4 linked regions of the Arabidopsis thaliana genome follow. The protein of the gene in region 2 interacts with the protein of the main gene of each other region in a pairwise test. Each region holds a gene or a part of one and is shown on either strand. Other genes may lie near its edges. The genes, in order: ETC2, TIP, AP1 and AT1G02040.

Region 1 (7,216 bases), on a different chromosome or scaffold from region 2:
GTCCTCATTACGGTAGCTTGGGACCTCCTTTTCTATATCTCTCTCTTTACTCTTCGTCACAAGTTTTCTATATAGTTTTCTCTACCTCACATCTACTTTTTTTTCATTGCATTCTCCAACTCCAAAATCATCAGTTGTATATTATTTGTCCTCTTTCACTTTCAAATACCAATGGATAACACCAACCGTCTTCGTCACCTTCGCAGTCGTAAGCAATCCAAGTTCACTCTAGGGGATACCGCAGGTTTCTCTTTAATTTAGTTTATAAATTATAATCATCCATTTAACTTAGCTACGTCCTCCAATTTTCATTGATATTCATATTTGATTGAAATATAACTAACTAAAATGCAGAGGTAAATAGTGTGAAATGGGAGTTTATCAATATGACGGAACAAGAAGAAGATCTCATCTTTCGAATGCACAGACTTGTTGGTGATAGGTAACATCTTCTTCTTCTGTGTATAGATATGTCGTTCCATATTAAATTTTATATCTTCTTTTTTTCTCTATATACAATCTTACATGAAGTAACTCATGTCTTTTTTGTATCTTAGCTATCTTTAGATTCTCTCATGTACTTTTTTCAACCCTTTAACAGCATTATACTATATAACAACTTTCAAAAAAAAAAAAAAAATCTTACGACATAATTATTTTACTTATATGATAATGCTCGAGATAACTGTGGGATAACTCTTTTATATTAGCATATATCACTTCCAAATATGCTTGGCTAGCTCATAAACGTTGGTACGAATTTTGAGTATTAATCATGTATACTCTTGATGTTACTTTTTTGAAAATTCTTATATATTTTATAATTAGAACATATTTTAAAACCAAGATTTACTTTTCTCTCTATTAATTAATTCAATTCACTATAGAAAATATAGTTATCAAATTTAAATAATGTTTTTTATAACATATGCAAACATTCATAATGAAATAGCTAATTAAAAAGATTTTGGCCATGAACTGAATAATACTAGGTGGGATTTAATAGCAGGAAGAGTGGTAGGACGAGAGGCAAAGGACATAGAAAGATATTGGATTATGAGAAACTGTGATCATTGTTCCCACAAACGACGCCGAGTCCACAAATTTTACCGTTTCTCTATTTCTCCTCCTTAATTTTATGTTATTATGGACAAGATAAAAGCTTTAAGTTGTTGAGTAGAACAAAACTTCGATCGATATTTATTCTTCTCATCAATGGTTGTCTAAGTTATTGTCAATTCTACAAGTTGTGCCACTCGTCTTGTTCCAACTATACATTTTGTAACTCCGTCAAAAATATTGATAGGAAAAAATAATGATTAAACGAGGATATTTTGAAGTTAGTAGATAGCAAAGAAAGAAGATTAATAAAATTCCTAGTGTCATAAATTATCGTGAAATTTAGCGTTTACCATTCCGACAAAGATGAAGGACCACTCACACACACCTTACACTCAGATGGTATAATCATTCATCTTCTCGAGCTACCTCTATTCTTGTCTTTAATTAACTTCTGGCCCTTCCTTTCCTCCGCCATTTAAATTATAATTCCACTTGCAATTCATTTGTGTTTAAGAGTTAATTTACGGTTAAGAAAGAGTTCTGACGATGGAAAATGTTTTAACTAACATGCAAGTAAGGAGTTGTATAAGCTAATATAAGACTCCTAACTCCTTACGTGCATCATAAAAGTATGGGGATCCCTAAAAGAATGCATGAGTTACTTAAGGTTAATTCCACCCACATGCTATCACCATAATTAACAAACCACTCTCAATCAATACTATCAAATCACATAATCTCATGCTTAAGAGTTAAGACACCTAAATCGTTCATACAATCATGCTCACATTCACATATCATATACATTCAATTTCATGCACATGTTCGTATGCACTATTGTTCGTAACCACTTAGCTATCTCAACCATCCATCATTTCACTATCTTAACCATCGAGCCCTCAGATATAATGCTTGGCATCTCTCCATCTCTTAGTCATCTTGACCCTCAAACTTATCTGATTCTCAAGATAGTGAGAGCTCAGGACTCATAATATAGGAGTTTTAGATTTTGCTCACCATATTGGGCCATTAAGCCCTGTTTCCTTTTTTAGTCCAATCAGATCCTATAATTCCAGTGTATACCAAGCTTCCTGATCTTTAAACACTTTTAGGCAAATATAATTTCTTGTCCTTTCTTACTTAGAACCATTCTTCACATGAGAACCATCATTTGTGTATATATATTAATAACTTTCAAAACCTTAATAATGATCACGACATAAAATCTTTATAATGAGAGCGGGTCATTACAGGTGAACTCCTTTGTCCGTCATATCAGCCGTCTTAGAAGCTCGTATGTGCCCAATACTCTCAGGACCAGCCCTGAGCTCGTATGCATTAATTACTGATCTGGTTTTAAAATTTGTATATATACGTACATAGCCATATGGGATACTTCAAATGTATGATTTTGTCTCGACAGCTTTTACAAGTTTAGTCGAAGTGACCAGACAACAGCTGCAATCCGAAAGCATGTTTCAATGAAGTCGTTCTAGTCCATGACTGAAAATTTGTTATACTGAATGTTGTCGATAACTTTCCTTTTGTTAACGAATGCTTGTCGATAAATTTATATATATCCAGTATTATGATCACATAATGATAAATTAGAGGAATTTCATATTTTTGAATTGGTCTTAGCTAATACGTACCACGTAGGATCAATTTTCTCCTAACCTACTTCTTTAATATATAGTGGGTAAAATCATAAATGGTTCATTCTGATTTCACGCTGAGAAAATGATATGCTCATTATATAAGTACCGATTTCTCTAAGACAACTTTCAATCTGTCAGGAAAAGAAATTGATACGTCCGTTTCTTACAGTTACTGCATTTATTATCACTGAGACGATAATTGAGTTCTGTAGATGCATAAATAGGAATTATCTGTAGGGCATGCATATGTAAAATTAGACACACACAAAAAAATCTAAAGAGAAAAAAGCACAAGAAAACAAAAGTTTTGTTGGATTTTGCTAGTATTATTTACGACCCACAAATCTATATCACAACACGAAATTAACGGTTTATGGACTTTTTTTGTCCAATTTTCACGAAGTCGAAAATTTCGGGGAAAAAATTTCACCTAATGTTATTGGAGAACTGTAAAATAAAATTATAGATTATGTACATCCACATTCCACAGCCATCTCCGTCCGTAAAAATTTCTAAAATATAAAAAGAAAAACTGTGATTTTAAATTAGAACTTGTAGGATTACGTGTTCATAATATTTATTGAGAAGTGTATTTGCATGTGATGTTTTTCACTCGATTTTAATACGTTACTAGGCAAAAAAATAAAACTAGCACGCCATTTTAGTGACTGTTAAAATGTTCTGTTATAGGTCAGAAACAAAATCTGATCAAAATTTATTGTGAGCATTATGAACTTTTTGGAATAGTAAAAAACAAATCGAACGTATCACGAAATTATGTTTTGACGTATTCGATCGGGATATATAAAAACAAAAATGTGAATTATAAATTTAGGAATATATACGTAGAAATTCCAATAAAAAATAAATCACCTATCTCTCTCTCTCTCTTTTTATATAACTATTTTTTTCCCTCACATCTTTTCTATATCTTGCATTCTCCAAACTCTACATTTTCAGTTTCTCTGTAAATTTATCTAATATTCTTCTATTTTCCAGTAGTTATGGATAATACCAACCGTCTTCGTCTTCGTCGCGGTCCCAGTCTTAGGCAAACTAAGTTCACTCGATCCCGATATGACTCTGAAGGTCTCTCTTCAATTCATTACTCTACACTCATCCTCCTAACTCGTCAGCGTTAAATTATCTTCTCATTTAATTTTTGTTTGGATAAAACGAAACAAAAATGCAGAAGTGAGTAGCATCGAATGGGAGTTTATCAGTATGACCGAACAAGAAGAAGATCTCATCTCTCGAATGTACAGACTTGTCGGTAATAGGTAACAAATTCTCTTCTTCTGTCATGTCCGATTCAACATATTTTAAAAACAACTAGTATTTTATAAAATTAAAAAAAAAAAAAAAAAAACTAGTATTTTATAATTTAAAAAAAATTCACATGGCGAGAGTAACAAATCAAAGCTGATAAAGTGTTATGTTATGGTAAACATGATTCTAGAGTAGTTTAGACTTTCGAACGTGTTTCGAGAAAAATGACATGCCAATATTTAAGCAATGACATGAGTATTTTACTTGTATAATTTCAAAAAAAGTTTTATGTTGTTGATAAACTGATAAAATGTATAATTAACAGAAACTAAAATTTCTTCTTTTCTTAAAGTGTGATGATTTTAAAAACAGTGAAAGGATTGAATAATATATTGGCTCTTGAATATTATTGTCTTTATATATATACATTTTAAATTTCATTTCTGCATTATATATGTTGACTCCTGAATTTTGATAAATGTTTTTTCAGAATTTTGTGCTCGTCTATAATTCAAAAACACATTATATGCTTGAATATTGATTGTCAGGTGGGATTTAATAGCAGGAAGAGTCGTAGGAAGAAAGGCAAATGAGATTGAGAGATACTGGATTATGAGAAACTCTGACTATTTTTCTCACAAACGACGACGTCTTAATAATTCTCCCTTTTTTTCTACTTCTCCTCTTAATCTCCAAGAAAATCTAAAATTGTAAAGAAATCAAAATAAAAGCTTTCAATCATAAAAGTAGAACAAATCTTGAATGTCTTCTCATCATATAAATGGTTCAGAAATTGTTGAATCTCTTCGCAAAACAAATTAGAATAAGATCACCTTTTCTAAATCCGTGCTCTTAATCTTCACTTAGTTTACAATCATGGTTGTCAAAGTTATATCAATTATCAATCGTTAAGTTGCAGCTTACAACACATTATAGCAAGTGTGCCATTTCAAAGATATTGAATGAAAGAACAATCACCAAAATGTTAAAGAAAGATATTTTTAGTGTATACAGTCGACAAGCAACCTTAGATATAAAGATTCTTACAGATGATTAACCATTCTCAGAATACAGATTTAACACTCATCGCTGGCTAAATCAGGCATCTTCAGTGGGAAACTGCTTCTCCACATCCGCGACTGTCTTCTTTGCATCTTCGATCTCTGGACCTTCCTTCTCATCCGTCTCTTCCAATTCCGCCTGCAAATTCAGTTTTCATTAGAGACAAAAGACAGAGTACGAATTCACAGTTTCCTCTGTGTCCTTATTCATCATTTTTCCTCAAAGAGAGACTAAGATGGTTTCATGCAGGGGATTAATCCAATCGCTATAGATACATATAAAAGTTATAGTTTGATAATGTACTACTGCTCTTAAACTTCAAATCACCGCTCAGCGTTTCTTATAAACTAATACATAAAGCTAGACCGACGCTTAGCAAGCAATAACAATGGAAAATGTAGTTTACCAAAGTGGACTTGAGGTCAGCCAATGCAGACTCGAGACGTTTGTGGCAATCCGGAATCATCATCCTAGACTCACCCAACACATTTTCCTGCATCACCACATACACAGATTAGGAAAAACCAAGTCTAAACACAGCACAACACAGCATTTCTAGATTCTGACGAACAAAGACGGGCTCCGAATCTTCGAATACAGAGAGATAAACAATGAAATCTGTACCTGTTGTTTAAGGTCGTAGGGATCAGCACCTTTGTCCTTCATATCAGCAGTCTTAGCCGCTTCTCTCTCAACTTCTTTCTCATAAGAGTGAAGCTCTTTCACAATCCTTTTACATGTTGATGTTTTTATCTTCAAGTTCCTTATCGTTGCCATTGGATTCTGAGCAAGTACCAAACACAGGACAACCAAAATTAGGGTTTCTACATCACCAGCGAAACAACTCAAACGCAACGATTCTATAACTAGGTTTTGCGATCTCCTTTAAACTTCGATGTCGAATTTGAAATTGAAATAGGGCGATTAGATCAAGACTAATGTAGGTGATAATTCTACGATTCGTGCATTGCAATAGATCGGGAACATTTTGGAATTCATCGATTTCTTTTACTTGATTCCGATCTACATTGAGATCGACACAAAGCTAGATTCGATTGAAAATTAAAGGAAGATATACTGTGAAATAGAAGAAGTAGGGTTTAGAAACGAACCAGGCGATGATGGGAGAAGAAGGTTGCTTCCGATGAATTTGAGAGAGAGGACGCGGCGTAGAGCGAGGAGGAATCGAAGAACAACAATATACAGTTTCCGATTTCGATTTCTTCTTTTTCCTTTGCTTTCAATTCTGAATTATTAAAAAAAAAACTTAATACTGGATATGCACTCACTTGTGTGCTCGCATTACGACATAAAAATGTAATTTGAGTTTTATTTCATTTCTTTGACAAAAAAAAAAAAAAAAGTTTTATTTCATTTATTTACCCTTTTTTATAGATATAAAATATGTAAATCAAACTTTTATATCGTACAATTTAAGTATATATTTTGTGTTTTATTATGTCAAGTTCATTCATTAATTTTAAATTTGATACAACAAAAGAATAATGTAGAAAGTCAAGTATACAATGATGGATGAATGGATTTACATAATGCTTTTTTGGTACGTAAACGTTAGTATTTGCTAACAAAGTATTAGTTGCGTTATTTTTTTCAGAACAATCAATCCTAATTTTAAATATTTTTATTAAAAACACTATGATACATATTAATTTACATTATAATTTGTTATTGAAAATAAAAACGGAGCAATTTTGTCATAGGTTTTTTTTTTGTCAACCACACAAAAATGGTTTACAAATTACAATGTAACTTTAAAAAATGGTATACAACTACACTAACAACCATAGGTCACAAGAAACCACACTTGCTATTTTTTCTAGATCCAAATTTCACAATTTAAAACCACACAAATTTTCTAGAAGGAATCAATATTTGGAATGCCATTTAATAAAACTTTAACTGTTATTTTTAAATATATTGAATTTAAAACGAACTTTGAATGTTTGTGTAGTTTTAGACGAACAACTAATTTGTCAAGTTAGCTAGGTGATCAAGATAGAAAAAAGTTCGTGTGAATCATATTTTGTTCATGAAAATTTGGTGTAGTTTATGGTTATGAGGTTATCTCATATCTATGTATAAAATTAGAATGTAGAATTTTGTCTGACATACTTGTTTAAAACTTAAAATTATGATACATATAT
Region 2 (8,588 bases):
TTTTCTAGTCAAATATATATGATTGATCTCTCTACTTAATTTTACATGAGTTATATGATCATTTTTTTCCTGGAAAATGCAAAATTATTTTAGCTCATTTGGTTTTATATTTTGAGGGTTGTTGGAGATGATAACTAAGGAGAATCTTGTTTATATAAATTGCTTATAGTGTTGATTTACACATAACGATAAAGATGAATTAATTGAATAAGAAGTGATAAATGATAAGTGTATGCATGTGTAGAGATTTTCCTGGGAAAGAAAATACTGACAACAGTTTCAGGTCCTTTTGTATTGGATTGGAGGATGTGAGGTTGAGATTCTATCTCACTATGTGCATATATAAAGTTTAGTATATGGTTTATATATAAATATGAGTATAATTCTAAGTATAATCATCATGCATGCACCTCATAAATTGATACTAATATTGAAAGTTGAAACAGTATCAAGTTGTTTTTCTTTCTTCTTTTGCTCAGATTTTTTCTTTTCTATGTGAACATAATTATGTTAAAGTTCTTTACGTTAATGCAAGATTTTGAACATTTCCTTACTAAATGAATCCGCAAGTGTGAAAGCTAACAACACTCAAAAGATGCTTTGCATTTTTGGGAAACTTTTTTTTGAAAAAAATGTTTATAATTACATTATTTCCTCCACCAATTTTTTTCACTTTTTGTTGGATTTGAGATTTCTTGTACTAACTTATGTTCCGTTAACAACTATTGTAAACAGGACTCATCCAAAAACGGCGTTTTAGCGGTTCAAACGCTAAGGAACAACATAATGGCATCAACTCTATTAGCATCAACCGCAATAATGTTATGTTCACTAATCGCGGTACTAATGACTAGCGCTACAGGAGAGCGATCAGTCTGGTTTGTGTTTGGAGACAAAAGCGACCGAGCCTTCTCGCTCAAGTTCTTCGCAATCCTCGTGTGTTTCCTAGTCGCGTTTCTCCTCAATGTCCAATCAATTCGTTATTACAGCCATGCAAGCATCCTTATCAATGTCCCCTTTAAACAGCTCATGGCTGTTTCTTCAGGTGGTCGTGGTAATGGTAGTCTTATGATAAACCAAGATTATGTGGCTGCAACGGTTAACCGTGGGAGTTACTTCTGGTCGTTAGGACTACGAGCGTTCTACTTCTCCTCGCCTTTATTCCTATGGATCTTTGGTCCCATCCCAATGTTCATAACTTGTTGCGTTCTTGTTTGTTCGTTGTACTTCCTTGATTTAACGTTTGACTCGATGAAATGTAGCGTTGGAGCCGCAGACGCGGAGGAGCCCGAGATTAGAAGCTTAGCTCAGAATGTTTAGTAGTTTTTTTTTAATTTGATAATGGTTAGGGGTTCAGATATATTGAAGAGAGTTTTGTTCAATGGAACATACAAATCTTGTAAGTTGTATTGATTCAGGTTCAATGGTAGTTGAACCGTGTCAAAGTGTCACTCTGTAACCAAGTGAAGAAATTTGTTGTCATTTAACCGTAAAATTGTCAATTTTACTGATGTCAAAGATATATATATTTTTTTGGTAATTTTGCATATGCATATGGTATATATGGATCATATATATTCCATGTTTATTTTCAACCCTTTACTTTAAAAGTTACGAAGAATTTAGAACAAATTACAAATATGGACTTGGATCAAAAATGTTCATAAATTCTACTTCTATAGCTTTTTCTTTCCCCGTTTATAATATATGGTATTCGGAGGTAACATTTTTCTTATTTTTTCTGTCAACCACATTAATTGTTTGAGATCTCTTTAACCCTTTTGTAGTTAGGACAAATGTTAAGAATCCATAATAGTAAAACTAAATATGTATTTATTTTTGGAGCTTTTATTTTTAATCTTTTTTTAAAACACTATATATATAGTGGGTGGTTTTCTATATTTTTTTAACTAACGTTGATATAGGATTTAACCCACGATATACCGTGGGACAATTTGTGTTTCGCACAATCTTGATTCGATATGTTTAATATTGGTAGTGTAACAAAATAATAAAATGAAAAGAGCAATTGGGTAGGGTCGGATCATCATGAGATATTTAGTAATTTAACAACTTGTAGTTTTGGTGACTTCTTAAATTTTGATCAGATAGAACATAGCCACTAAGTAGGATCATGAGGAAATACATAATTTTCTAAATAAAATAAAAATAAAAAGAGAGATTTCCACATATTCAAGTTTTAATATTTTTTCTTTGTTTTTCAAATAAATTAAAACTAAACTAAAATCCACATCTAATTACCATTCAAATTTTTCAAACAACTAACATTTACACCAAAAAAAAAAATTACAAACTAAAATTCGAAAGCCAAAAACTATTTTAAAAGCTACATACATTTATGATTTTAAACAACGGAAAATAAAATATTTCCAGAAACTGAACTTTGAGATAGAAAGTAAACGTCTTTAGTAACTAAGTGATTGGTTGGCATGTCACCGTAAATTATTCGCTGTAAAATTTTGACCGTCAGCGTGTAAAATGCAACCGTGTATTTTATTGTTATACGTGTAGATATTAGGGATATAAAGTCTTAGAAGTAAATTTATTAGTCGTATCTTAAAATATGATTAGTAAATATTTTATAAAATATTATAGTTAACCAAACTATATAATAAACAACAACACAAATTTTGTGATGCACATATAGGTTAAATGGAATCTATATAAACATGTAAAATAGTTTATATGTTAGTCGGATAATAACTACATATTAGTTGAAAAGAATATATACATATAAATTTTTTGTTCAAATGTTGTTCAAAATTTATACATAAGTATACATTAACAAACAAAACTATACATGGTATTTATACTATTAGTATATATCCATCTAGTGCCTAGTGTACATTATATAAGCAACACATAAAAAATGATCATGAGGAAATAAAATTAAAATAAAAGAGAGATTAAATTAAAAATATAACTTATAGAACTTATAACAACATATGGTTTTAGGTTGTAGAAATATAAGATTTACGGTCACAAGATTTTTTTTTTTTCTAAAACTAATTCACAACAATTTGGTCTTCACAAAAACAATTATGGTTGTAAAAGATTACATTCCAACTAATCAAACACTATAAGAGACTATCCTCAAACTAGAAACGCAGAGGTCTAAACCCAAAAACAAAACAAAAAGCAATGACTTAGATAAACTTTGTTGGATATGGGCTTCGCCCCATTTAACATTCGGAGGCCCAAACAAAGAGTCATTGAAAACCTCAGTTAAGAATGATGAAGACCAGCCCCCCTGAGAAAGCCGCAGCCCATTGCGAGATGAGGCCCATTTTCTGGAAAGGATCAGCCGCCATAGAAGTTTCATATCGCTCAGAAAATGGTACTGTGTACTTTCATTGAAGTACTATAAATATTGACAGAGGAATGCCAGAAAAGGACACCTGAAGTCGGACGAGAATAGTACAAGAACATTCTCATTCGGATTCAAAGACATAAGCTCGACAATTGACTTGTGTAGTTTTATTCTTGTTGTATCTCTTAAAACGAGGCTTGGCTGTAAACATATCTTGTAAACGGCCGAACGTTAAGTTTAGATAAATAAGATCTTCCTTTTCGCTCGCTACTTTCTTCTCTGTTTTTGAGGTTTAGTTTTGAGTACCAACGGACTTCGATATCAAACGTTTTAAAGTTTAAACCTATTTGATTTACATTATTTGGTTTAAATAAATTGATTCAGACTTCACACGACCAAGAAAAAAAAATGGTTGAATTGGGTTCTCATCTATTGGGCTTTAACAACAAACACTATTAGTAAGATGGGCTGGCCAGTTGTGTAAACTGTTTCATATTGGTAAATCAATATGATACCAATTAAGTTTATTTAATTCTTCTTTAACTTCCGTACAACTATCACGAAGCTTCCTTTATAGCATCAACGTGTCAATATATGATTCGCTAGGTGACATCTCTCGTTCAGACATCCTCACCTTTTGACTCATATAACCCCTATTTCCGTAACTATTTTACTGCAATACTTCAGGGGTAAAATAGGTATTTACATTCTGTTTTGCCTTTTACGCGTAACGAACGTGGTTTTGTGTTTTATGACTTTCTGGGAAACAGTGGTACGCCTATCCACGCGCCACTTTTTCATCTCTTTGTCTTTGATATCTCTCTTGTCTGACCAAATCGTGTCACATCTCCTTCTTCTCCACTTTACCAAATCGTGTCAAATTTTAGGGTTTTTTCTTTTCGTACTTCATCAAATTCTGGAATCTGGTTTTTTCTTAGTTTTCTTCTATATACCTTTGAATCGCATCTTTGATCCAAATTCATTTTAGATATCACCTTGAAGTCGAATTTGTGATTTTTTCTTTTCCTCTCGAATTCTCAAAGTCTCACGCAACTATGAAAGAAGACATGGAAGTACTATCGCTCGCTTCACTACCGGTTGGGTTCAGATTTAGTCCAACGGACGAAGAGTTAGTCCGGTACTATCTCCGGCTCAAGATCAACGGTCACGATAACGACGTTAGAGTAATTCGTGAGATCGATATCTGCAAATGGGAGCCTTGGGATTTGCCTGGTAATTCCTTTCTTCATCAAATCAATTCGTTGATTCATCTTTAGCTCTTTAGTCTCGGTTTAGCAATTCCCAGGCTTCAATTCCGGTTTATGCATGTTTGAATTTGGAACAATATGATCAATAACTTCTTAGCTTAGGTAGTGGACTTAGTGAATTTGAGTAAAGATTTATACTTTAGTATTTGTGGTGTAGATTTTTCTGTGGTGAAGACAACAGACTCAGAGTGGCTCTTCTTTTGTCCTTTGGACCGGAAATATCCGAGTGGAAGTCGAATGAATAGAGCTACTGTGGCTGGATACTGGAAGGCGACGGGAAAAGACCGTAAGATCAAATCAGGAAAGACTAAGATTATAGGTGTTAAGAGGACTCTAGTGTTTTATACAGGTCGTGCTCCTAAAGGGACACGAACTTGTTGGATTATGCATGAGTATCGTGCTACTGAGAAGGATCTTGATGGAACAAAGTCTGGCCAGGTAAAAACCAACTTGGCAAATGATGGCATTAACTTGTGTGTGTAGGTCTTTTGTGTTTCTGATTGTGTTTGTTTGATTGTTTTTGGTTGCAGAATCCGTTTGTTGTTTGTAAGTTGTTTAAGAAGCAAGATATTGTGAACGGAGCTGCTGAACCAGAAGAGTCAAAGTCATGTGAAGTTGAACCAGCGGTATCGTCTCCAACTGTTGTGGACGAGGTTGAAATGTCTGAGGTATCTCCTGTTTTCCCTAAAACAGAAGAGACTAATCCTTGTGACGTCGCAGAGTCTTCTCTTGTAATCCCCAGCGAATGTCGTAGTGGATACTCTGTCCCTGAGGTTACAACCACCGGGGTAAGGATGAACAAAATACATTCTTTTCATTACAGGAGGCGGTACAACCGCTTTGTAAACTTACAAACTTCATTTTACTCAACAGCTTGACGATATCGATTGGCTCTCGTTTATGGAGTTTGATTCCCCGAAGCTGTTCTCTCCGTTGCACTCTCAGGTGCAATCTGAGCTCGGTTCCTCTTTCAATGGCTTACAATCTGAGTCTAGTGAATTGTTCAAAAACCACAATGAGGATTACATTCAGACTCAGTACGGTACAAATGATGCGGATGAATATATGTCCAAGTTCTTGGATTCTTTTCTTGACATTCCCTATGAGCCAGAACAGATCCCATATGAGCCACAGAATCTTAGCTCATGCAACAAGATCAATGATGAATCTAAGAGAGGAATTAAGATTAGAGCTCGACGAGCACAAGCCCCGGGTTGTGCTGAGCAGTTTGTAATGCAGGGCGATGCCTCAAGAAGGCTGCGTCTTCAGGTTAACCTTAACAGCCACAAGTCAGAAACTGACAGTACACAACTTCAATTTATCAAGAAAGAGGTGAGAAGAAGTTTGTTTTCATACCTTCTCATGTATTACAATTTATGATCCTTATATTTATGCGATAAAATGTATATAGGTTAAGGACACAACAACGGAAACTATGACGAAAGGATGTGGAAATTTCACAAGATCAAAGAGCAGGACTAGTTTCATATTCAAGAAAATTGCAGCCATGGGATGTTCATACAGAGGGCTTTTCAGAGTCGGTGTGGTAGCGGTTGTGTGTGTGATGTCGGTCTGCAGTCTAGTCGCATAAATCCGCTGAATGTGATGTTTGTTCCGATCAATTCATATAGTAAGAATAAAGAAAGTGGTTTTTACGGGTGGAGAGAGCGCGGATTTGTGTGTATAACAGGGGTTTTGGCCTGGTTCTGCATCTGTTGTTATTGTTGTTGTTTTTGTCGGCTTAAGCTTAACCATGGTCGGTTTAGGAGTGTAGTAGACTTGTAGTTAACATGTACGACGACTCATAATATTCAGATGGTAATGTTTGGAAATTTTTTTATTCCTGACCACATGTGTCTTGAGATTGCGTTTTTGACATTTTTAGTAGCCTTGTACAATCAGAAACAAACTACGAGTTCGAATGGTAGCACCGTAATGAAAACGGTGTCAAACATGTTAGTACGAACCGACCGGGTAGAGATATTTATTAGAGGTGTGTTTATTTCGTATATCATTAAACATGTTTAGTATGATAGGACGGTTTGATTGAGGGTATGGACTGTTAAACATGTCATTTGGGTATTTTATGGCATTAAGTATGCCCAGTAATATATTACAAAATTTTTGGACAAAAGAATGCATATTTGAATAGTTCAAATAATATGATCACCTCTCTTTTCTCTCCTTCATATCTTTTAGAGAGAGGAACTGTTGAATTCTGCCGACCGGATTATTCTGGTAAACTGCCGTCCCAAGTTTTGGGCTTTTGCCCGACATCTTTTTGGCTTTGTTAGCAAAGATGGCCGGTCCTCTTCTGGCAAATCCGGCTTCTACAAGAATAATTGTATCCTTACTACTTAATTGTATGGACCAAGAATAAAATTTCAAAATTTAGTTGTTTTCTTGATATCTGTAAAAAAAATTAAACAACACTTACAATAAGACATAGGAAGCAGTTTGTATCAATATTACTGTCGTGTTGCTTTGGAATAAAACCCAAAATACGTAAGTACCAAAACAATTATTAGACTTTTTAAATGTGTTAGCTGATATAAGTAGTATATATCAATGTTGTATCATACTTTGAATAAAACTCAAAATTATGTGTGAGTAAGAAAAGAAAATACAATTCTTTCCAATATATAAAAACATCGTAAATGCATAAAATATGTGCATTCGAATCTTAACGCCATTGCAGTTGGACTCATGTCTCCACATGCGATGCACCGAACACCAACTAACTTTATCTCAACTATTTTTAGAATTCACGTATCATGTTCTTTAATCAATTTAATATTTCGATTATAAATTTATAATGACCAAAGAAGGTGATGCACACTTTTAAAGCGTAAATATACAATAGTGGATATGAATGACTCGATGCTTGATCATTAACATGGCACATTACATAAAACAAAAGTCTATAAATTTCTTTTAAGTTTTATTAAAAACGGATGACAAGAAAAGAGAGTCTATAAACTTATTTTAGCAGAGAAACTAATTCGGTTGTGGCATAGAGTTATTTTTTTATATGGTTTAGTCAATATGGCTTTTTGTATTTTTGACTTTTTGGATATACTTTTGAATCAGATTAAAGTCGCATATTGCCGGTTGGTATAAAAGGAACTTCATGTTAATTCCAGAACGATCTGAAAAATCTTCCATAAATCAATTTTATTTAACAAATGCAAAAACCATTAGTACGTAAAATTAACCTATAAAAAACCAGAGGTTATTTATTGTCTTGATTTTTGATCTGCGATAACATCTGCTGAGTTTTGAGTTATACAAACCACTCAAGTCTCAACATTGAGATTTTTTCAGGTCCATTTGGATAAAACAATAGTTGAAACCCATAAAGATAGTGCGCGTCAAAAGTAAATTATACATTGAGACTCAAACTGTGAAAACGATCGGATACAAATTACATGTCAATTATTATTACTTAAAGTTCATTTTATAGCAGGTATACCAAAAAGTTAAGTCCAAATTCGCAGTTTTAGAGGAATTTTTTACTACAAGTAAAGTGATAATATCATCAGTTTTACCAAACGATGGAGACCAATTTTAGTTTGTAGCATAATATAGAAAGTATAAACTAATTTAGAGATGGACACAAGGTAAAATACAAGTGATTCATTTTTCAGCTGTTGTGTATGAAAAATTGTTTTATATGTTACTTTTATTCGTTCGAAACGGATATTCAACATTTTACATTAAAAAAAATTTCGTTGCAGGTTATTATGAAAAAAATACATTTCTATTGTACCGTTTTAATATTTTTATAACAAACACTAAAAATATCATTTACCTCTGTAACAAAAAAAAAATCATTTGCCTGAAAAATTCTTCAATTTCATTACCTAATCCACTCCAAACAATTACATAGTAAAAATGAGATTTTTGTTATTTACGAATACTTTCATTCTTATAAGCAATACAGTGGATATACTAAATTTAAAATTTTGTAACTCTTTAAGACTTATTAA
Region 3 (10,133 bases), on a different chromosome or scaffold from region 2:
CTTATGTTGGCCCTTAGCAAGTCGGTTGAATAAACGACATAATCTTTTTAGTGTCCGTTTATAACCGACGTCCTCTTTTATTTTGTAGGGCAAGTAATGTTTAGAGGCAAAAAAAATACTTTTGAAGATGATAAGATAAGCGTTTATTTAAATGAACAAAGATATGGAAGGAGTGGCTTTGATTCAGTTACCGGATTGGCGCTTTTGCCTCTTCGTTTTTGTTTTTTGTTTTCTTTCATTATAGATCTTCGTTTTTGTTGCCATTGTGCCAAACACAGAGATCCATCCATCTGTATATTTTCATAATGAAGGGCAAAAATATCATGATTTTTCTACATGTTTTCTATTTTATTTATTTGCTTTCTTTTTAAAATAAATAAATCCTAAATTAGAATCAAAATTAAGAACCCAGAAAATCATAGTTTTTTTTAATTAAAAATATCGCAGGTTAACCAATGCAATACAAAAAAACTATTTTTTCTTAAAATATTTGAGAAGAGTCGGTTATTTTGATCTTGACCTACATAAATTTGTTACAATTTAAGCGAGAACCACTAGTCCACCTCAAGTTGGTTTCTCATATGTCACATTTTTGTTATTAATTCACACAAAAAAATCGATTAGTGAAGAGACCACCTGAGAGGAAGTGGAATGGAAACAAAATATTGATGGTTGGAAGTTGGAACGATGCTGACAAAAACAAAAATGGCCTATACAGGGATCGAACCTGTGACCTTCGCGTTATTAGCACGACGCTCTAACCAACTGAGCTAATAGGCCTTTGATGAAACCAATGATACAACTAAGATTTATTTAACAGACAAAGCTTGGAACCAAAGCTTAATGGGCCTTGAAATACAATTTGGGATTTTGATCAAAAGTATTCAAAGCCTACTTACTCCAAAACAAAGCTCACGGACCTTGGATCTGAAGTTATGAACAATAACATATTTGGCAAAACAAAGAAAAAAGAAACAACAATACTAACATATTTTGGTAAAAGAACATTGAGAAGTCTCAAAAATTAACTTCTTCTTATTTTGTTTCCTAATAAGACCGTTTGCTTCATTTCAAGTTCTTAGGAAATAATTTCATGTAACGTGTATGTAGATATGTTTATGTACAGATAAAGAGAGATCTGAAAATGATATATAGAGCTTTTGTGGTGATAAGTGCAACAAGCAGGATATATATATCGAACGTGGTGGTTAGAAGATAGCGTCAAAATAGATGCTAGCTGCTGCGTATACATCATATTCATATCATATGTACTTCTCTTTTGTGATTTCTCATGTGATTGAACATACTACATAAATCTTGATAGATTTATAAAAATGCAACAAATTGTTGTTTATATAAGAAAAATAAAACACTGATATGATATTTCATTAGTTATTATCAAATTTGCAATATAATGTTTAACATCCAAGATTTGTTTTACATAATCGTTACGGTTACTAAAGTTTAATTTATGATGTTTTAAAACAAATTGAGACTAAATTTCTAAAAGAAACATATACGTACATGTGTGTAGCTGCGTATATATATAGAATGGTGGGGCTAAAAGCTAATGATGTGTACATTAATTGGACATTTGATGTGGCTGGATTGGACCCAACTTGCTCTTTGATAGAGACCTAACTAAGACAATTTTGCTCTTCATTCATTTCTCCCGTATACATAATTGAATTAACTGTACATAATGTTTCACAACAAGCGATCTAGCTATATATTTCAAAATAACAGAGACTGATATTTTAATCTGGTCTTCTAAGCTCTAACGTCAAATTAAAAAAAAAATCCGATCTTCTAATTAATTAGAAGAAATCAATTATAGAACCTCTCTCTTTAATTTCATTTATTTAAAACTGCTTGGAAATTTAATTATTCACTAAAGACTCACTATTCTCCTTAATTTATGATAATTTGTAGATCATATGTTCAGTTTTTATTTATTTGCCATTCGAATGTTGAGTTTTAATTAAACCAATATGTTAATATTCGAATTAAAAAAACTTACCTATAATTCACTTATTTAAAAACATAAAATAATAATAATTGCATCACCGTGATACAAAGCAACCTCACAAGTCACAACTCTCGTGACTACAAAGATCACTCATTAAACAAACCTTCCTGCCTTCTTTTTTTCTACTTGGGCACCTCGACCGATCGAAGACTATTCTTGGGATCTGCTTCAAAAACGACTATATGTTCTAAATCCACTTCGTATGATGACGAACATTTGGTTTACTACTGAAGATAGAGATTACGTCCTTCTAATTAGAAGTAATTAATTATTTTAGTATTTGGAAGCTAATGGTGGAGATGTAACCGTATCTTAGTGGATCGAGATATTGTATATAAAATATGTATGCTACATCGAATAATAAACTGAAAGAGAGTAAAAAGGGATATTTAATGGGAAGAAAAGAAGGGTGGAGATGTAACAAAGGCGAAGATAATGGATATTCTTGGGATGTTGTCTTCAAGGCCACGAGCTTAGATTCTTTTAGTTTTGCTCAATTTGTTAAGTTTCTACTTTTCCTTTTGTTGCTTACTACTTTTGCTCATGATCTCCATATACATATCATACATATATATAGTATACTATCTTTAGACTGATTTCTCTATACACTATCTTTTAACTTATGTATCGTTTCAAAACTCAGGACGTACATGTTTAAATTTGGTTATATAACCACGACCATTTCAAGTATATATGTCATACCATACCAGATTTAATATAACTTCTATGAAGAAAATACATAAAGTTGGATTAAAATGCAAGTGACATCTTTTTAGCATAGGTTCATTTGGCATAGAAGAAATATATAACTAAAAATGAACTTTAACTTAAATAGATTTTACTATATTACAATTTTTTCTTTTTACATGGTCTAATTTATTTTTCTAAAATTAGTATAATTGTTGTTTTGATGAAACAATAATACCGTAAGCAATAGTTGCTAAAAGATGTCCAAATATTTATAAATTACAAAGTAAATCAAATAAGGAAGAAGACACGTGGAAAACACCAAATAAGAGAAGAAATGGAAAAAACAGAAAGAAATTTTTTAACAAGAAAAATCAATTAGTCCTCAAACCTGAGATATTTAAAGTAATCAACTAAAACAGGAACACTTGACTAACAAAGAAATTTGAAACGTGGTCCAACTTTCACTTAATTATATTGTTTTCTCTAAGGCTTATGCAATATATGCCTTAAGCAAATGCCGAATCTGTTTTTTTTTTTTTTGTTATTGGATATTGACTGAAAATAAGGGGTTTTTTCACACTTGAAGATCTCAAAAGAGAAAACTATTACAACGGAAATTCATTGTAAAAGAAGTGATTAAGCAAATTGAGCAAAGGTTTTTATGTGGTTTATTTCATTATATGATTGACATCAAATTGTATATATATGGTTGTTTTATTTAACAATATATATGGATATAACGTACAAACTAAATATGTTTGATTGACGAAAAAAAATATATGTATGTTTGATTAACAACATAGCACATATTCAACTGATTTTTGTCCTGATCATCTACAACTTAATAAGAACACACAACATTGAACAAATCTTTGACAAAATACTATTTTTGGGTTTGAAATTTTGAATACTTACAATTATTCTTCTCGATCTTCCTCTCTTTCCTTAAATCCTGCGTACAAATCCGTCGACGCAATACATTACACAGTTGTCAATTGGTTCTCAGCTCTACCAAAAACATCTATTGCCAAAAGAAAGGTCTATTTGTACTTCACTGTTACAGCTGAGAACATTAAATATAATAAGCAAATTTGATAAAACAAAGGGTTCTCACCTTATTCCAAAAGAATAGTGTAAAATAGGGTAATAGAGAAATGTTAATAAAAGGAAATTAAAAATAGATATTTTGGTTGGTTCAGATTTTGTTTCGTAGATCTACAGGGAAATCTCCGCCGTCAATGCAAAGCGAAGGTGACACTTGGGGAAGGACCAGTGGTCCGTACAATGTTACTTACCCATTTCTCTTCACGAGACGTCGATAATCAAATTGTTTATTTTCATATTTTTAAGTCCGCAGTTTTATTAAAAAATCATGGACCCGACATTAGTACGAGATATACCAATGAGAAGTCGACACGCAAATCCTAAAGAAACCACTGTGGTTTTTGCAAACAAGAGAAACCAGCTTTAGCTTTTCCCTAAAACCACTCTTACCCAAATCTCTCCATAAATAAAGATCCCGAGACTCAAACACAAGTCTTTTTATAAAGGAAAGAAAGAAAAACTTTCCTAATTGGTTCATACCAAAGTCTGAGCTCTTCTTTATATCTCTCTTGTAGTTTCTTATTGGGGGTCTTTGTTTTGTTTGGTTCTTTTAGAGTAAGAAGTTTCTTAAAAAAGGATCAAAAATGGGAAGGGGTAGGGTTCAATTGAAGAGGATAGAGAACAAGATCAATAGACAAGTGACATTCTCGAAAAGAAGAGCTGGTCTTTTGAAGAAAGCTCATGAGATCTCTGTTCTCTGTGATGCTGAAGTTGCTCTTGTTGTCTTCTCCCATAAGGGAAAACTCTTCGAATACTCCACTGATTCTTGGTAACTTCAACTAATTCTTTACTTTTAAAAAAATCTTTTAATCTGCTACTTTATATAGTTTTTTCCCCCTTAAGTTGACTACTTGATTTGCCCTAATTATTCACTACTGCTTTTGTTTATATATTTTCTAGGGCTTCCATTTTTGGATTTTTTGATTAGCCAGAAAAATGTTTAATACAAATTTGTATAATTTAAAAATCAAAACTTTAGGGCCGTAGTGAAGTGAACCCTAGAACACACTAATTATACCATAGTAATTACCTTGATATATTGTGCAATATTTATCAGCATCATATCTTCAAACTCAAGAGCATATAGAAGGGTGTATGTTTAATCTTTGAACTAGGGTTTTGATCCCTAACTCATAATGAATTCTTTTGTTCTCCAATAGCCATGTCTTTCGAATTTGCAGATCTAAGCTCTAATTGATGCCATAGTAAGAAAATAAGATCTGTAGTTTTCACTCGCTCACTGAGTTCGAGTTTTAAATGAAGTGTCGTTTCTTTTTTCATATATAAGTTGCAACTGGATTATAATTAAAAAATATTATGGGACGAGAAAATAAATTAAAATAGATATAGATAATAATGTCAAATTGAGAATTTTTTATTAGAAAGAATATTTAACTTACGAGTTGTTTTTTTTCAGCTGTAAAAGAATATCTAATTTGTTCTCACGACTGTGTCTTCATGTTTTGCAAATCTAAGCAAAGAAAATGTTTAAACTCGGATCTTAAGATTATGAACTCGTAATATAAAACACTATATAGTATTAAATTTGAACTAGTGTTGCTTCTTTTTCTATTTGACTTTAGAAATTAAAACTGAAACAAAGATGTCAAATCTGAGTAGGGAGTCTTTGACCTCTGGGGATCCATAAAAAGAATTAACTCCATCCTAAAATCGGCTTCTTACCGATGGTCAAACTTAGCTCCAACAAGCAACAGCTGTTCTTCTTTTTTTTTTTTTCTTTTTTTTTTTAAGCATTGTCCTTGTTCTGAAAAAAAATAAGATTGGTAAATTGGCAAGATTATAATAATTTATTATAATGTGTCGCATCTAAGAAGATTTTCTGTACCTAATTGTAGCAAAATTAAAGAAACCGCAGTTAGAACTCGAAGCTAAGAGCATAGGGTCTATGATTCATACTGTTTTGTTATTATAAAGGTATCATAGAGATCGGTACTTGATTTGTTATAGGAAATCTTGGTTTAATTGCATAAAACCATCATTAGATTTATCCTAAAATGTGATGATATTTTGGTTACATCTCCATATTATTTATATAATAAAATGATAATTGGTTGATGATAAAGCTAACCCTAATTCTGTGAAATGATCAGTATGGAGAAGATACTTGAACGCTATGAGAGGTACTCTTACGCCGAAAGACAGCTTATTGCACCTGAGTCCGACGTCAATGTATTTCAATAAATATTTCTCCTTTTAATCCACATATATATTATATCAATCTATTTGTAGTATTGATGAATTTTATTTGTATAAAACTTCTGGTACACAGACAAACTGGTCGATGGAGTATAACAGGCTTAAGGCTAAGATTGAGCTTTTGGAGAGAAACCAGAGGTACACATTTACACTCATCACATTTCTATCTAGGAAATCGATCGGGTTCCATTTTAAAGTAAGTTAAAATTCATTGATGCTATTGAAATTCAGGCATTATCTTGGGGAAGACTTGCAAGCAATGAGCCCTAAAGAGCTTCAGAATCTGGAGCAGCAGCTTGACACTGCTCTTAAGCACATCCGCACTAGAAAAGTATTGCCTTCTGCTATTTCGTTGAACATATCTATATAACTTAAACGTTTACAAGTGTTATTATAATGTGAACATTGAAATACATATGTGTATGTATCAATATATATATCAGTAATCAATATCAATTTGATATGTCTATAGGTTGGTTCGAATGTATGAGTTATGTTGTGTATTTTAAGACTCATATTACTTAAAGTAATGGGTTGTTAATGTTGATGTGTGTGTATGCAGAACCAACTTATGTACGAGTCCATCAATGAGCTCCAAAAAAAGGTATGTAAAACCCCTATCAAATGTATGTCTTATAGAGAAACGTATAGGAAAGCTAATTAACAATCGTGCCGTTTCGGAAATGACAGGAGAAGGCCATACAGGAGCAAAACAGCATGCTTTCTAAACAGGTAACACATGTCATCATTTCTCTTTCATCAACATGTTGTCCATTGCATTACTGTTACCTTCCACTGTTCTGCTCCACACTTCCAGCCAAGCTATACCTACGATATCTTCATATCTCCACTTAACTTCGGCACCATTAAATAAAAATAGAAAATCTTTGCAAATTGTTTGAAATAGCATAGATGTTGTCTATTGATTGATATAATCACCAGCCTGTACGTAGATATGGTTTGTCCGTTTAGTTTTAAGGTTGTCTCTCGGATTGAAAATATTTGAAACTTTGAAATGTTGTCCCATCATTCTACTTAGCTCATATCTATGTATATGAATATAGACACTACTCCTAATTATAAAAATGTTATAATAGTTCATTGCATGAGTGCAACTGTGAAAATAACTATTTGTAACCATTGCATATATATAGTTTCTTCACTTTGAAAATTGATGATGATAATATGGTTTGAAATAAATTTGCTGGCAGATCAAGGAGAGGGAAAAAATTCTTAGGGCTCAACAGGAGCAGTGGGATCAGCAGAACCAAGGCCACAATATGCCTCCCCCTCTGCCACCGCAGCAGCACCAAATCCAGCATCCTTACATGCTCTCTCATCAGCCATCTCCTTTTCTCAACATGGGGTAACAAAAAATTACTAATCAGTCTTAATTTAAAGCACATATGTTATGCAAGCTAGTTACGTTAGGTGTTGTAATTTCATTGAAGTTATAGCTGTTAGTGATGGTTACATGATGTCATGATTTTGAAACTAGAAAACTTTATTTTAAAACATTATTTTATTAACGTAGGTTAATGCAATGGTCGCCAAACGAACAAACTTATTAGTGTGGAAAATGTACATGGAATGGTTGCGAAAAGCCTAAGTCGACTTTTTGTTGTTGTTGGTCTATGTGTTTAAGTACAATTTTAGTTTGTTAGATAAATGAAATTAATATATCTTTGACATTTCACAATGGACTGATATTTGATTTTCCTTTGTTGTACGGTGAAACATATGATTACATATGCACTTTCATATATATCCTATGTATGATTGTGAATGCAGTGGTCTGTATCAAGAAGATGATCCTATGGCAATGAGGAGGAATGATCTCGAACTGACTCTTGAACCCGTTTACAACTGCAACCTTGGCTGCTTCGCCGCATGAAGCATTTCCATATATATATTTGTAATCGTCAACAATAAAAACAGTTTGCCACATACATATAAATAGTGGCTAGGCTCTTTTCATCCAATTAATATATTTTGGCAAATGTTCGATGTTCTTATATCATCATATATAAATTAGCAGGCTCCTTTCTTCTTTTGTAATTTGATAAGTTTATTTGCTTCAATATGGAGCAAAATTGTAATATATTTGAAGGTCAGAGAGAATGAACGTGAACTTAATAGATCGGACCTTTTTTTTTTTTTGTTGCATTAAGTTAGGAGTGGCAAAATTTCTTATTATTTCAAGTTTACAACAAGCGAACTTGAGTGGTTGGGCCGTATTAATCGGAATAGAACCCAATTAGAATCAAGGAAGGATGTTGGCCTATAAAGGCCCAGAATTTGCTTCTAATTAGATAAGATAGGCAATAATAACAGTGCCTCCGAATGGATGAGGATCTGTAATGTAACACCCTGGTAGTCTCTCTGATACATTTGTTTGATTAGTGATCGAATAATTAGTGTGTATTGACTTGTTTCATGGAGCTAAGGACACGAGACTTACAGTAAAGGGACCAGTGAAAATGCCCACTAAGGTTCTTAAGATATATCACCACCAGAAAGGCACGTTGTGGTAAGCGTAACTCTCACATTATCTTCTCTTCATCTACATTCAGTAAAATGTTGCTAAACTCAAGAAAAGGCACGTTGTGGTAAGCGTAACTCTCACATTATCTTCTCTTCGTTGTATTCCTGCTAATTTTTTTAGAAAACAATTTCTGTATTAAACATTTTGGTAATTATATTGTTTGGTCTTCATGTTTCAGTTACTACAACTTTATATTTTTTGGTTCTTGAAGAAGTTTCCTTCTTTGGATAGAGGATTGTTGAAGAAGTCAACAGAGCAGAATTAAATGCATAATGAAGAGAATAGGAAAGCAAAGCATAATTTTGATTTTTGAGATAGTCAGATATATGAGTTATTAATTAATTCGTTTTGAGTATAGATAGAAATGACAGATATATAATTCCTTTTTATTAAGAAGTCACGCTTACAGAATAACAATATTGGTTCACATATATATTGTCATAAAATTTAGATAAAACTTGTTTAGTGTACTCTTTTTACTAATTTTCTTATATTGCTTCAGCAAAGCCGATTCTTGGGGTTTTAACATCTCCATAATCAAACACCGTATGGAACTTCGTCATGAAAGCCTCACCCAAGACCCTACATTTAAATCCAATGGTTATTTTCTTAACATATGGGTTAGAGAAAATTTTATTACAACAACTTTAGAGCCTATTACCAGTCTTTACGACGATTTTTAGACTTCACAATACGAAGTCTGCATCTTTTTTTGGGATTTGTCTTCACCTCAACGTACTGAAAAAAAAAAAACATAAAAGAAAAAAAGGTCAAGAAAAAGGCTTTAAAAAACAACTCAAATGATAGAAAAACCTGATCGTACATCATGTTTAGTGAGGCGTAGATGTTTTCCTCCAATTTCGAAGTAGATATCCGGCAAAGCAGGAAACTGCTCGCATCTAATTATTACTTTGGTTGCTCCAATTTCTTTATAGATTTTACCGACAGCTTCCTAAACAGAATGAAACAAAACCAAATATTTTTTACCAACTTATGATACAAACTAAACTATATGCTCACTAAAACTTAATTCTCTTACATCCGGGCCAAAAATGTCAGTCGATCCAGAGTCAACCATTGCTGTGCATTCTACATCATCACAAAAGTTGATCGCTGGTTTACCATTAATGTAAATTTTGGACATTTTGATCTTCCAGCGGTCGTCGCTTAGTTTCATCGGTACATAAACATGTTCTCCCTTGAACTGCTTCGGGTCAAACCCACCAAACATGATCTGGCCACCATTTGGATCTTCTCCTCCATCTCCCTTGTGTGGCCTCAAATATAAAGAGAAAATAGGTTTAGTTATCAACTTTTGTTTCACCATGTTTTCCCAAACCGTGACAGATCCTTGCGCACGTGAAGATTTGATGCCCAACCCAATAACTCCATCAAATTTAACACTTCTGAAGTAAGTATCTGGGTTACGTGCCAAAAATAAATCTTGACTTTTTATTACAACCCCGCCTACGTTAACATTGTCTTGTGCAAGAATACCGACGACACTTCCTGTCTCATATGCAATATTTACTTCTCCCCCTAGAAAAT
Region 4 (7,248 bases), on a different chromosome or scaffold from region 2:
GCTAGGACTTAATTATATGCTGTTGCTTCTTCTCCTTTTTTTTTTAAAGTTTAAAACAAAACAAAATATTGTGTCGGGGCCACCTCTATAATTGGGCCTAAAGTAAAGTTATCTAGAACAAAGAGGAGCCCATTTAGATTGGGCCTTAGAGAGTTATAGAATGAAGAAGAAAGGGTTTGTTCTCTTGGTCCGCCGGAAGGGGTGGAGGAGCGGCGGACGTGTGCCGCCATATTTCGCGGCAACTTTCTTCTGCAATGGTATCTTCTGTACCTAAACTCCATGCTTTGTTTGTCTCCAAGTCTCAACCAGTTCTCCGAGCCGCCAAAGTTACCAATGAAGAAAGGTCCACCAAATCAAAACTCGCCAGGTCCTTGGCCCGTGCCGTGAACTCTAACCCGTGGTCGGACGAACTCGAGTCTTCACTATCATCTCTTCATCCGTCCCAAACCATCTCCAGAACCACCGTTCTCCAAACCCTGCGTCTCATCAAGGTCCCTGCGGATGGTCTCCGGTTCTTTGACTGGGTTTCCAACAAGGGGTTTTCTCACAAAGAGCAGTCTTTCTTCCTCATGTTAGAGTTCCTCGGTCGAGCTCGCAATCTCAATGTGGCTCGCAATTTCTTGTTCTCCATCGAGAGAAGGTCTAATGGCTGCGTCAAGCTCCAGGATCGCTACTTCAACAGCTTGATTAGGAGCTACGGGAACGCTGGGCTCTTCCAGGAGTCAGTGAAGCTGTTCCAGACCATGAAGCAGATGGGCATCTCCCCTTCCGTTCTTACCTTCAACAGTCTTCTCTCCATTTTGCTCAAGCGTGGCAGAACTGGAATGGCCCATGACTTGTTCGACGAAATGCGTCGTACCTACGGGGTTACCCCAGACTCCTATACTTTCAATACATTGATAAATGGGTTTTGTAAGAACTCCATGGTCGATGAAGCCTTTAGGATTTTTAAGGATATGGAGCTGTATCATTGCAATCCTGACGTTGTTACATATAACACGATCATCGATGGGTTATGCAGAGCCGGCAAGGTCAAGATTGCACATAATGTTTTGAGTGGAATGTTGAAGAAAGCAACCGATGTGCATCCCAACGTTGTTAGTTACACTACTCTGGTGCGAGGCTATTGTATGAAGCAGGAAATTGATGAAGCAGTGCTTGTGTTTCATGACATGCTGAGTAGAGGGCTGAAACCCAATGCTGTTACTTACAATACTCTGATCAAGGGGCTCTCTGAGGCTCACAGATATGATGAGATCAAAGATATCTTGATTGGAGGGAACGACGCATTTACCACTTTCGCTCCAGATGCCTGCACTTTTAATATTTTGATCAAAGCCCACTGCGATGCTGGTCATTTGGATGCAGCGATGAAGGTGTTCCAAGAAATGCTGAATATGAAGTTGCATCCTGATTCAGCTTCTTATAGTGTTTTGATTCGTACTCTGTGCATGAGAAACGAATTTGATAGAGCTGAGACATTGTTCAATGAGTTATTTGAGAAGGAAGTATTGTTAGGTAAGGATGAATGCAAGCCTCTCGCTGCAGCTTATAACCCAATGTTTGAATACTTATGTGCCAATGGGAAAACAAAACAAGCGGAGAAAGTTTTCAGGCAGCTGATGAAAAGAGGAGTGCAAGATCCGCCCTCTTACAAGACTTTGATAACGGGTCACTGCAGAGAAGGTAAATTCAAGCCTGCTTATGAGCTGTTGGTTCTAATGCTCAGGCGGGAATTTGTACCTGATCTTGAAACTTACGAGTTATTGATTGATGGACTGTTGAAGATAGGTGAAGCTCTTCTTGCTCACGATACCCTACAAAGGATGCTAAGGAGCTCTTATCTTCCTGTTGCAACCACTTTCCATTCTGTACTTGCAGAACTTGCGAAAAGGAAATTTGCTAACGAGTCTTTCTGCTTGGTAACGCTAATGTTGGAAAAACGAATAAGACAGAACATTGATCTTTCAACGCAGGTTGTCAGATTGCTTTTTAGTAGTGCACAGAAAGAGAAGGCATTTCTGATTGTTAGGTTGCTTTATGATAACGGGTATTTGGTTAAGATGGAGGAATTACTTGGTTACCTCTGCGAGAATAGAAAACTACTTGATGCACATACACTTGTTCTGTTTTGTCTGGAAAAAAGTCAAATGGTAGATATCGACACATGCAACACGGTCATAGAAGGACTCTGTAAGCATAAGAGACACTCTGAAGCGTTTAGTTTGTACAATGAATTAGTAGAACTAGGAAACCACCAACAGCTTAGCTGCCACGTGGTTTTGAGGAATGCCTTAGAGGCTGCTGGAAAGTGGGAAGAACTTCAGTTTGTGTCAAAGAGGATGGCTACATTGAGAGAATCAGATGATTGCTCTGTATTAGAATGAAGGATAGACCGTGCATCTGGTTTCTGGTAAACAGGATCCTCTCTCTTTGTTCCGTTTTCAATTCTGTGTCTAAAATTATCCATTGGCAATTGTAAAATTTTTGGCCCTCAGCAATTAAGCAAGTTTGTATTCATCGTGTCTGTTACAGGTCTCTATGGACGTTGCAACTCTCTGTTCCTAACTTTCACCTTCATGGTACCTATTTCCTAAGTAGATTAGGCTTATATTACTTATCCCGGGAAAATAGGTTTCATGGTGTTTTTTGCATTTCTAACCAACACAGGCCAAAGAATCACCAAACCCTAATAAAATAACCGTTTCTCTCTTTACATGATCTTCACTCTTCAGCACCAAACTCTCCCCAAGAAAACCCTCAACCCTTCCTTTATAATCCTTTGCCATTTGCTGATATTCTGCATCCACCATCTTTCTTCCCAATATCTAATTGAGTTTTTTCCTTCTGCGCTTGAAAAGAAATGTCGAATTCTAGGATGAATGGTGTTGAGAAGCTAAGCAGCAAATCCACAAGGCGTGTCGCAAATGCCGGAAAGGCAACACTGCTTGCTCTTGGCAAAGCCTTCCCAAGCCAAGTCGTTCCTCAGGAGAATCTAGTGGAAGGATTTCTACGAGACACCAAATGTGATGACGCGTTTATCAAAGAAAAGCTGGAACACTTGTGTAAGCCTCAGTCTCTTTATATTTTTTTCAGACAGCTATGCTCTCTTGTGAAATGCTGAAAGCTTTCTAATGTTTTGTGCTGTTGTTTAGGCAAAACGACAACCGTGAAGACGCGATACACTGTGTTGACGCGAGAGATACTGGCTAAATACCCTGAGCTAACAACAGAGGGTTCACCAACAATCAAGCAAAGACTTGAAATTGCAAACGAGGCGGTTGTGGAAATGGCATTGGAAGCCAGTTTAGGTTGCATCAAGGAATGGGGAAGGCCAGTGGAAGACATCACTCACATTGTCTACGTTTCCTCAAGCGAGATCCGTTTACCCGGTGGTGACCTTTACCTCTCAGCAAAGCTAGGCCTGAGGAATGACGTGAACAGAGTGATGCTGTATTTTCTGGGATGCTACGGAGGTGTGACTGGCCTCCGTGTGGCCAAAGACATTGCTGAGAACAACCCCGGAAGCCGTGTTCTGCTCACAACCTCTGAAACCACCATTCTCGGATTTCGGCCACCAAACAAAGCGCGTCCGTACGACCTAGTTGGAGCTGCTCTGTTTGGAGATGGTGCAGCTGCTGTGATCATCGGAGCTGACCCGAGAGAGTGTGAAGCTCCTTTCATGGAGCTGCACTATGCGGTTCAGCAGTTCTTGCCGGGGACACAGAACGTGATCGAGGGGAGGTTGACTGAGGAAGGCATAAACTTCAAGCTTGGACGAGACCTCCCGCAGAAGATAGAGGAGAACATAGAAGAGTTCTGCAAGAAGCTGATGGGAAAGGCTGGCGATGAGTCGATGGAGTTCAATGACATGTTCTGGGCTGTTCATCCAGGAGGACCTGCGATTCTGAACCGTCTGGAGACAAAACTGAAGCTGGAGAAAGAGAAGCTGGAGAGCAGCAGAAGGGCGTTGGTGGATTACGGGAACGTGAGCAGCAACACGATACTGTATGTGATGGAGTATATGAGAGATGAGCTGAAGAAGAAAGGTGACGCAGCACAAGAGTGGGGACTTGGCTTAGCTTTCGGACCTGGAATCACCTTCGAAGGCCTTCTCATCCGCAGCCTCACCTCTTCCTAATTGTTATAATTTACATTTGGGTTATAAACATATTGTAAGCATGAAATGAGAGTATTATTTGTTAAACAACATCTATATAGAATAGATGCATGTGACTAGGAATGTTGGAAAAAGTCAAAAGTTGCACCACGTGTCGTTAAAGCAAGTGCTTAGCTACTTGGAACCACATGAACAAGAAGACACCAAACCCGTTACTTCCACTAAAAACAAGGGCTTTCTTCTTTTTAATTCACACCAAAACACTTTGAACACACACATGCATGGAGCCATGAACTCACCATGCATTGATTTCGTAATGTTCAGTCGTGGACAACACGATGAGGACAACATGTCACGTCGTCCTCCGTGGAAGAGGGAGAGATCGATGTCCACTCAGCATCATCATCTTAACTTGTCTCCAAACGAAGACGAAGAGCTTGCCAACTGTCTTGTCTTGTTGTCCAATTCAGGGGATGCGCATGGTGGTGATCAGCATAAACAACATGGACATGGTAAGGGCAAAACCGTCAAAAAGCAAAAAACCGCCCAGGTTTTCCAATGCAAAGCTTGCAAGAAGGTGTTCACGTCGCATCAGGCATTGGGTGGACACAGGGCAAGCCACAAGAAAGTGAAGGGTTGTTTTGCCTCTCAAGATAAAGAAGAGGAAGAGGAAGAGGAATACAAAGAAGACGACGACGACAACGACGAGGACGAAGATGAGGAGGAGGATGAGGAAGACAAATCAACGGCTCATATCGCAAGAAAGAGATCCAACGCTCACGAATGCACCATCTGCCATCGCGTCTTCTCTTCGGGACAGGCCTTAGGAGGCCACAAGCGATGCCATTGGCTAACACCTTCCAATTATCTTCGTATGACGTCGCTCCACGATCATCATCATTCCGTCGGCAGACCGCAGCCGTTAGATCAACCATCTCTCGATCTCAACTTAGCTTGCCAAGAATATTCCGTCGATCCAACGGCCATGAGCGTAGGGATGATCGAGAGAGATGGTGGTGGCAATAATCACAACGCTACTTCATCTTCGTGGTTAAAACTCGCAAGTGGTGATTGGTCTTGACGACTGACTAATTTAATTAAGTTGCTAATTATATTCTTTTAACTTTCATTCGTTTATATTCTTTACATATATACAATTAAGTGCATGAGTTTATATATAGAGTTTATGGATTTATATGAATTACACTTGGCGTCTTCTGCAGATTTAGAGAGCCATAAGGAGTTCTAGTCCAATATATACAAAGATATAAGTAAGAAATTAAGTTTCACAACTAGTTAATATACAAGATAGATAATTGTATCATTTTTTATTATTATATACGTTGAGAATAAAGTAAGATAACCAAGGGCTCCTTGCTCATATAAGCGCAAATGTTTTAATTTCATGTTTGTAATCTTACAGAGTGATATAATTTACTTGTTAAGCCATCAAGAAGGAGATATAATTTTGAAGTTTTCCAGAAAAGAAATTGTAAATTCGAAATTAAGAAATCACAAAGAAGAAAAATATCAAATAAATAAACGAATATCACGTATCAAATAACTCTCGTGATATGCCCATATATATTTTAATCATGTTAATAATCAAAAGGCTCTTACTACACTGAAAACACATGAACATGAGTCAACGCCTCAACGGAATTGATAATTTTGGTGGTTCTTAATTAAGCACCGATTGCAAGGAAAGGGTCATTTCTCTCAATACGATTACAAGAAAAGAGTCATTTTTATCTCGCATATATGTTATTAATGAGTGGTTGCCATTACAAGTTATGAACTTTTGACTTTAGGAAGCCCACCAACCATCAGCTGAAAACTAGGATTAGCGGGGGGAATTTGATTAATGTCAACTGATATCCTCCAATTTCTCTTTGAGAAAAGCTCAAGCAAAGTATATGACTCTTTGGGCCACTCAAAAGATCTTTAATCAATTAACTTGAGGACATGTACTTTAACAACAATTGACACATATAGACACGTACAAGAGTTGCACGCTATTGATACAAGGAAATTTTGGTCTAGTATGAGGTAATAACGTCTCAACGAGATAAGGTTAAAATTATTTAGACATGCTTGGGAAAATATTTTTGTTAGTAGAAATTTGTAGAGTAATGAAATTTAGATTCTTATATTGAAATTTCATCCAAATAAATGACAAGAGGTGAGTCAACACCAAAAGGGCGTGTGAGTATGAGAGTCAAAGATAGCACTAACTATACGATGCGGGAAGTCAGCAGTTTAGTCACACGTGTCAACCTATGATTTAAGGAGAGTTGGTGTATTTGTCACAGAATCATTAAAATTTGGTAAAGTTAGAAATAGAGGGGCCAGTGCTAGTGTTGTTTAGTCGTTACAACAAAACCTCAACGGTTTTTGTTTGCAACTTTACCAAAATGAATACCCTCATCCACAAACTCTTTTCTAATCAACAAAGTATTGAAATTTTCAGTTACATACTAGTATTTACTATTTACATACTAGTATTTTTGGGCTAGTAGAAGAGTGTATTTGAAAAATTAGAGGAGAAAAAAAGTCAGCGTGGAGGAATAAAGGTGTGAGATCGCATGTTACATGTTTGATCAACGGCTCTTCACTTCATCATTCAATACTCTTTTTTTTTTCTTTTTTTTTGGCTCAATCTGTCAATAAAATAAGAAAAACATAACTGATAATTATATATATTTAGAGGCTTATTTGTATTTATGTTTACACAACAGACAGGTCTTTTATTTAGCCGTTTCTGATATTAAAAAAGAAAGTAAACTGCTTTCGTTGATATTCTTAAGTATCCCATTAATTCTTTTCCTTAAAAAGAAAACATTAACTTGTTGTTGGGACTTCGTATATTAGCTTAAGTGTTGGTGGAAGAGTGCTTGTAACCTACTCCGACTTCTTCTTCTTCTTCTTCTTATATTCTCCCTCTCTCTCTCTCTCCTTTTTCTTCTATTTCTGCTCTGTTTTGGTAAATTGAGGAAATGGAAGAGAGGCATAAGTGCAAGTTATGTTGGAAGAGCTTCGCTAATGGAAGGGCTTTGGGAGGTCACATGAGGTCTCACATGCTCATTCACCCTCTCCCCAGTCAGCCCGAGTCATATTCGTCTTCCATG

Evidence for each region.
Region 1: the proteins of TIP (region 2) and ETC2 interact in a two-hybrid assay, tested with the Arabidopsis thaliana proteins (one large-scale study listed by BioGRID).
Region 3: the proteins of TIP (region 2) and AP1 interact in a two-hybrid assay, tested with the Arabidopsis thaliana proteins (one large-scale study listed by BioGRID).
Region 4: the proteins of TIP (region 2) and AT1G02040 interact in a two-hybrid assay, tested with the Arabidopsis thaliana proteins (one large-scale study listed by BioGRID).

The regions. Positions count from the first base shown.
Region 1 is NC_003071.7:12,958,424-12,965,639, reverse strand, and holds ETC2 (Homeodomain-like superfamily protein), read left to right. Parts: upstream 1-3,477; 5' UTR 3,478-3,724; coding exon 3,725-3,809; intron 3,810-3,912; coding exon 3,913-4,000; intron 4,001-4,537; coding exon 4,538-4,703; 3' UTR 4,704-4,793; downstream 4,794-7,216. Other genes in the region: TCL2 (Homeodomain-like superfamily protein), read left to right, coding at 172-244, 355-442, 993-1,134; KIS (tubulin folding cofactor A (KIESEL)), read right to left, coding at 5,088-5,189, 5,458-5,544, 5,676-5,828. UniProt on the Arabidopsis thaliana protein: MYB-type transcription factor involved in epidermal cell fate specification. Acts as a negative regulator of trichome development, by mediating lateral inhibition.
Region 2 is NC_003076.8:8,414,522-8,423,109, reverse strand, and holds TIP (TCV-interacting protein), read left to right. Parts: upstream 1-4,033; 5' UTR 4,034-4,386; coding exon 4,387-4,564; intron 4,565-4,756; coding exon 4,757-5,037; intron 5,038-5,129; coding exon 5,130-5,387; intron 5,388-5,472; coding exon 5,473-5,931; intron 5,932-6,010; coding exon 6,011-6,190; 3' UTR 6,191-6,735; downstream 6,736-8,588. Other genes in the region: AT5G24600 (TRP-like ion channel protein (Protein of unknown function, DUF599)), read left to right, coding at 736-1,320.
Region 3 is NC_003070.9:25,980,377-25,990,509, reverse strand, and holds AP1 (K-box region and MADS-box transcription factor family protein), read left to right. Parts: upstream 1-4,160; 5' UTR 4,161-4,407; coding exon 4,408-4,592; intron 4,593-5,572; exon of another isoform or gene 5,573-5,758; intron 5,759-5,934; coding exon 5,935-6,013; intron 6,014-6,113; coding exon 6,114-6,178; intron 6,179-6,271; coding exon 6,272-6,371; intron 6,372-6,602; coding exon 6,603-6,644; intron 6,645-6,730; coding exon 6,731-6,772; intron 6,773-7,251; coding exon 7,252-7,406; intron 7,407-7,574; coding exon of another isoform or gene 7,575-7,611; exon of another isoform or gene 7,612-7,831; coding exon 7,832-7,934; 3' UTR 7,935-8,216; downstream 8,217-10,133. Other genes in the region: AT1G69100 (Eukaryotic aspartyl protease family protein), read right to left, coding at 9,074-9,167, 9,247-9,323, 9,409-9,537, 9,625-10,124. UniProt on the Arabidopsis thaliana protein: Transcription factor that promotes early floral meristem identity in synergy with LEAFY. Is required subsequently for the transition of an inflorescence meristem into a floral meristem. Is indispensable for normal development of sepals and petals in flowers.
Region 4 is NC_003070.9:356,057-363,304, reverse strand, and holds AT1G02040 (C2H2-type zinc finger family protein), read left to right. Parts: upstream 1-4,226; coding exon 4,227-5,201; 3' UTR 5,202-5,399; downstream 5,400-7,248. Other genes in the region: AT1G02060 (Tetratricopeptide repeat (TPR)-like superfamily protein), read left to right, coding at 255-2,387; LAP6 (Chalcone and stilbene synthase family protein), read left to right, coding at 2,864-3,065, 3,156-4,141; AT1G02030 (C2H2-like zinc finger protein), read left to right, coding at 7,117-7,248.